Linked DNA regions of Caenorhabditis elegans. The protein of the gene in region 1 interacts with the protein of each later gene in a biochemical or structural test. Each region holds a gene or a part of one and is shown in the gene's direction. Other genes may lie near its edges. The genes, in order: his-51 and nap-1.

Region 1 (2,804 bases):
TCTTCTGCTCCTTCTGCAAGAGAGTGACAGGTCAATAAATATGCTGGTTGCATTTTAGGATTCAAGAAAGGCGAAATTGTAATTACTGGATCAATTTTTTAGCTTTTGATATATTCAAATAAAACACATTTCTCACATTCCTCTCGAACTTGAACTTGGAAAGTAAAAAAAGAGTTAAATAAGAACTTCAATCATTTTGAACTTGTGAGTCGCTTTTTTGACTTTTAAAATTCTTAAAGACGAAGAAACCAGTAATAATTTATCCATATGATTGATTTTATTGAAACTACTGTTAACTGATTCTTTTTTTCATCCAAACATAGAATTTCTAATGGGAGAAAGCGAATTTCCAAAACTGTATTGAGTTAATTACAGAATTAGTAAAGAGGGTAAGAAAAAAACTCAATTTTGGTGCAAGTTAGGAAAATCAGTTAATCGGTATGTTTTCCAAATCAGAAATCCATTCAAAATCTATGATTGTCTCTAAGAATTTCCAAGAATCAGTAAAGAGGGTAAGAAAAAAACTCAATTTTGGTGCAAGTTAGGAAAATCAGTTAATCGGTATGTTTTCCAAATCAGAAATCCATTCAAAATCTATGATTGTCTCTAAGAATTTCCAAAGATTGAAGTAAATTTTGCTTTTTTTCAGTTGAAAACAATAGTTTTAACTATGAAACCTGTTATATCTTGAAGAAAAAACATATATATTTGTTGAAAAAATATCAAAAAATTTTTTATACTTTCAGAAAATATGATTAAAATTTCAGTTTTGACCGGAGGTACTCTTTTGAAGGCCGTGGTCCGTTGCGCCTCGGGAATTTAGAAATTTATTTCATTGGCAATTATTTGATCAGATTTTAAATAAGAAGAAAAAATAAGAATAATAGTGATGAAGAATGAAGAAAACTTTATTTCATTAAATAAACTACTAATTGAAAAAGGATTTTAATACATTTGTGGCCCTTAAGAGGGCCGTTGGGTTCGGTGATTTGCTTTCAGCAATTGAATGCTTACTTGCTAGAGGTGTACTTGGTGACAGCCTTGGTTCCCTCAGAGACGGCGTGCTTGGCAAGCTCTCCTGGAAGAATCAAACGGACGGCAGTTTGAATTTCGCGAGAAGAGATGGTGGATCTCTTGTTGTAGTGAGCAAGACGAGATGCCTCAGCAGCGATACGCTCGAAGACGTCGTTGACGAAAGAGTTCATGATGGACATAGCCTTGGAAGAGACTCCAGTGTCTGGATGAACCTGCTTGAGCACACGGTAGATGTACACGGAGTAGGATTCTTTACGGGCATGACGTCTCTTCTTTCCGTCCTTTGGCTTGGTGACGGTCTTGGCGGCTTTCTTTGCTCCTTTAGCAGACGGCTTTGGTGGGGCCATTTCGATTGATTGGACTGGTCGTTGGACAAGTGTAAGGAATGGGTTGTTGGCCATTACCTTTATAACAATTTTTCGGTGGGAAGGAGGAGCCTATTGACATTCTGTGGGGACACCTTTCTATGCTGTCTCTCATGCCGAATGTACAAAGTGCATAGTTTTTCTTGGTCACTCTGCCACTTCCCCCATCTGTCTTATCTCTATGTGCCCGCCTAGTCACCGCAGCTGTGTTTAAAAGGGTGCTGTCTAATGGTCTTCTTCAGATCGTTTCTACATCTACCAACCAATCATCACCATGTCTGGACGCGGAAAGGGAGGCAAAGCCAAGACCGGAGGAAAAGCCAAGTCCCGCTCATCAAGAGCCGGACTCCAATTCCCAGTTGGTCGTCTTCATCGTATTCTCCGTAAAGGAAACTACGCTCAACGTGTTGGAGCCGGAGCCCCAGTTTACCTGGCTGCTGTTCTTGAGTACCTCGCTGCTGAGGTTCTCGAGTTGGCTGGAAACGCTGCCCGTGACAACAAGAAGACCAGAATTGCCCCAAGACATCTCCAACTTGCCGTCCGTAACGACGAGGAGTTGAACAAACTGTTGGCTGGAGTGACCATCGCCCAAGGAGGAGTTCTTCCAAATATCCAAGCTGTTCTTCTTCCAAAGAAGACTGGAGGAGACAAGGAATAGATGCCTTCTTAAAACATTTTACCGAACCCAACGGCCCTCTTTAGGGCCACAAATATTTCAAATCCTCTATTGACTGAATAAATATATTATAGTATTTCAATTTTTTTTTTGTACTTTATTACTAATTGAAAATCTTTTCAACGTTTGCAATCAAGAAACTTCTTCTCGAAATTAGTTGATTCACAAAAGAATTTTTAATGCTTTCCAATATTTTCTCTTACAATTGTTAATCAAAATTGGACTTCTTCATTAAAAATTCAAACAAATTGGCGCCAAATTCAAAGTTGCTCTTGAATGGCTGAACACTATGATTTTAGAGAGAGCCCTTGATATGATGTATTTTAACACGCCTTGTTGGAGTTCTCTCAGAAGTATACTTATAGTGACGTCACAACACATACAATTGATATAATGTGTTGTTTATCCCACTTTACCTATGAATCTCATCAATGAATCTCACAACCACCCCCACCCACATTTGGCCACGGACTTGTTCCAATCGGTCATCTTAAATTGTTTCTTCCTCTCCCACTATTCAATCGTTTGTTTTATATTTTGATTTTTGTCTGTAATTGATTACTTTATTTTGAAATTTTGAATGGTTGAGAAGAAATAAACAAATAATAATTGTGGACAGACCTGGAACTTTTTAAGATAAGCGATTTGCGACGTCACTAATAACATTTGTCGTTTGGTCTGTACTGCACTCTTTAGGGGCAAATATGCGTTCAAATGTATACTTTCTG
Region 2 (3,978 bases), on another chromosome or scaffold:
ATAAATATATCTTTGTTTTAATTTCAGCAAAATTAAAAAAAAAACACATTAAGAATTTTATTTTTTACAGTTATATTTGATTATTAAGTCCATTTATAACTGCGACAAATTTACATTAAATAAGAATATTGTCCACTTATGAAAACAGTTTTACAACATTAGTAATTTTTTATAAAACTTACGCAAAGGCAACCACAAGAACGGATTGGAAGACAGAAATGAAGAAATAGGCAACGAGAATTATTCCTCCAAGAGTGACCAATGGATGATCCGTGCGCATCTTAAAACTTGATTTTTTTTTGGTAATTCTTGGTTTCAGTAATTGTTTTTGGACCAATTTTATGTGCCATCATGTTTTAATCTATATTTTTCAATTATTTTTTTAGCTTTAACTTGCAAAAAAACGATTATCACAACAATAATTTTCATCAACGAAGTGCACAAACTGTTACGTGAAACATATGTTAACTTATCCTATTCAGGTAAACGGTAAAAACGAGCTCTTTTTATTTTTTACGGTGGACATGGCTTAATTTTATGCTGCTGCGTTTTGCATCTGAAACTTGAACTTAAACTAATTTTGAATTCCAAATTCCAATAAAACTTTGTACCTATCAATTCCGTCAACAATTCGAATTTCTTATCAATATAAAAACATCACATTCCCGTCAATCATTACCTTTTTGATATTTGCATCAGCCGAGACAGCAAAGATTAGAGTTGCAATTACGGCGACAACGGCGATAAGACCGACGAAAATGTCCTGGCTACTGATGAACGTGTGCAGAAGGAATAAAGTGATGATTGTAACAAAGTAGTTGGTTTGAAAGTACAGAAGATTCGAGATTATTCGATTGTTCCATTTCTTGAAGTCGTTAAATGGTGGACGCTGAAAATCAATCAATTGGATTTTTATCTTTTGAATATTGAAATAAAAAACTCGATTATTTTTAAATTAAACTCTAAGTAAAAATTTTAAACGACCACTTTAGTCAAACTTCAACATATGTAAATATATTTTCTACAAAAGTTGGCCCTTCTTTAAAAATATATGTAATAACAATTCAAGCCTACCTCGTATCGATCGGTTTCCAGCAGAAACTCGTGAAAATTTCTGAACGGTGGCACTTCCACGCCATTCATAATTTGCATATTTTCTGAGGACGTCGTCATTTTTCCCTGAAAATAACAATGAATTTGAAAACTCGCTAAGATTTTCGGAAGTTGAAAATATTTAAAGTAAAGTGAGAAGTTTTGTGCTGAACGGGGGAACATCTGGCGTCGAATGCTATGTGTAATATTCTAATAGCTTAAGGAACTTCGAGAGAATCGAGAAAACGAGAAATATGATTCCAAGATGTGGGTTATTTGAAGAGCTATCAAATTTTAGAATTTGAAACGCAAAAAACTGTTTATTTAAAAAAAAAAGTGCCTACAATTAGTTTCAAATGCAATCAAATTTCAGGAGAATTTACTATCATAACAAATCCATACTTTTATAAATAAAAATCAATACAATTATTATATGTAAATCACCAAAACAAACCAGAAAACAAACGACAATATGAAAACATTGATAAAAAATAATATAGGCATGAAAGACCATCTCGTAAATAATAAGCTTGTGTGCGCCTTTAACCGCGGGTCTCACCGCGAAGAGACATTTTATGGAGGAGGAGCGAAGTGGTTGTTTGGAAAATATATTTTCAACTCTCGTCCTATGATTTTAGACAGCACTGCTTCGTTTCACAATAATTTTACAGATTTTTTCTCGAATTTTCGAAAATCATCGTATTTTTTTGCTTGAAAGAGTATGCCAAAATCATCTATTTATGCTTTGTAGGTAATAAAATGGCTGATCAAGAGCATATTGACGCTGGACTTCTCAGCACCAACTTCGACATGATTCAGGCTTTGCCTCTCAATGTCAAGCAACGCGTCTGCGCTCTCAAAAACCTTCAAATGAAGACAATTCAGGTTAGTTTTCTTTGTTTATGTTCTTAAGTATATAATTTATTTCAGATTGAATCTGACTTCTACAAACGTGTTCACGAGCTCGAGATCGAGTTTGAAGGAAAGTTCAAATCCACTTTCGATCAAAGAAAGGCTATTGTCGCGGGAGAGGTCGAGCCAACTAAAGAACAAATCGACACTCCAATCCTCGAAGGACTCGAGGGAGATCAACTCGCTGTAAGTTCCTAATCAAGATTCCCTATATAGCCTGCAACTATTCAAGAGATTTGCCTCCCGTGGGGCACGCCTTTTTTCGTTGCGAAATAAAACATGTCCTTTATTCCCGCTCCTGGATTGTGTTTCTTGCGCGATGATATGGCTATGACAATTCCAGCTTATTAGTTGACATTTCTTTGTTTCAGGAATTGTACAAAGCTGCGGAGGCTGACCCATCAGCAAAGGGGATCAAGGATTTCTGGCTCACCGCTCTCAGAACCCATGATCTTGTTGCTGAAGCCATCGAGGAGCATGACGTACCAATCCTCTCATATCTCACTGATGTGACGACCGCCGCTAGCAAGGATCCAGCCGTAAGCGCATTTCATTGTTTTCGAAAGTTAATGTTTTGAACTTCAGGGTTTCAAAATCGAGTTCCACTTTGCCACCAACCCATACTTCAAAAACCAAGTTCTTACCAAGACCTACTTGCTCGGTTTCGACCCAGATGCGGAGGCACCACTCCAATTCGATGGACCACATGTCATCCGCGCTGTCGGAGATACTATTGAGTGGGAAGACGGCAAGAACGTCACCAAGAAGGCTGTCAAGAAGAAGCAAAAGAAGGGAGCTAATGCTGGAAAGTTCCTCACCAAAACTGTGAAAGCAGATAGTTTCTTCAACTTCTTCGAGCCACCAAAGAGCAAGGACGAGAGAAATGAAGATGAGGACGATGAACAGGCAGAGGAGTTCCTTGAGCTCGACTACGAGATGGGACAAGCTATCCGTGATACCATCATTCCACGTGCTGTTCTTTTCTACACTGGAGAACTTCAATCAGACGATATGTTCGATTTCCCAGGAGAGGACGGTGATGATGTGTCAGACTTCAGTGACGATGAGGCTTAAGCAGTATCGATGGACCACTTATTAATTTGCCAATTTTTGAAATTATTAATTTTCCATTTTCTTTTTTAAAATTTTTTTGATTATTCCCAACCCCTTCACATAATAGGCGGAAAACCGATTGTTGCTGTTACTTGTTGTTGTCGTTTATTCCCTGACCTATCCATATTCCGCTTCTCCCAATCTCTAAAGATATACCTGAAAACGAGTTGTCGTCGAAATACTTGATACATGTTGTCTTCATCCTGGTGTATGTTGTTTCGCAAATTCTTCATACTAGTTATGATAGGATTTGAATGAGCTGGCACGAGTCGACTTTGAACTCGAATTTCAATATTTTCGTGATCCTGCATTAAGTGATGAATAAAATCCCTTGTTGCGAATTTCAGTCCTTCTGAGGTCTTGCCATCTGGAACATCTTTCAGGAGAGATCGTCTATTTCAAAACCCTCTGCATTATGTTGGACGGCTACCAACTCCTCTTAAAAGCACAGTGCTCGGAATCGCTAGACTTGCTAGGACTGTCACAAGCAGAGATATTGATTATCATCGAAAACGAAAGACGATATGATGTGAAAACTCGTCTCTGCGAGAGGATTGCTTTTTTAATTTACCAAGACTCGAACTTTGGACGTTTACCGGTATCACCCAACACATTCCTTTCAGATGTATTTAATTGTTCTTCAGCACAACTCTTCGGAAGTTTTCGCGTCCATCAACAGATTATGTAAATCAATGCCAACTGGTTTTTCATTTGAAGGTAGATATTCAAATTATGGTAATCTTCTTATTATTATCTCAATTATACAGTTTGGTGTTACCTAAAAGTTCTAGTCTCAATAGACAAATACTTGTTACTTTCCCAAAATATTTGAAGAACAGAAAAAGTATTTGCACACATTTT

Evidence for each region.
Region 2: the proteins of his-51 (region 1) and nap-1 are reported together in a solved structure, tested with the Caenorhabditis elegans proteins (one study listed by BioGRID).

The regions. Positions count from the first base shown.
Region 1 is NC_003283.11:8,849,042-8,851,845, reverse strand, and holds his-51 (Histone H2A), read left to right. Parts: upstream 1-1,674; coding exon 1,675-2,058; downstream 2,059-2,804. Other genes in the region: his-52 (Histone H2B 2), read right to left, coding at 1,011-1,382. UniProt on the Caenorhabditis elegans protein: Core component of nucleosome. Nucleosomes wrap and compact DNA into chromatin, limiting DNA accessibility to the cellular machineries which require DNA as a template.
Region 2 is NC_003282.8:8,377,185-8,381,162, reverse strand, and holds nap-1 (Nucleosome assembly protein 1-like 1), read left to right. Parts: upstream 1-1,843; 5' UTR 1,844-1,851; coding exon 1,852-1,977; intron 1,978-2,022; coding exon 2,023-2,190; intron 2,191-2,221; exon of another isoform or gene 2,222-2,343; intron 2,344-2,375; coding exon 2,376-2,543; intron 2,544-2,589; coding exon 2,590-3,078; 3' UTR 3,079-3,458; downstream 3,459-3,978. Other genes in the region: praf-3 (PRA1 family protein), read right to left, coding at 183-280, 680-889, 1,075-1,173; D2096.7 (ELYS domain-containing protein), read left to right, coding at 3,533-3,715, 3,762-3,852.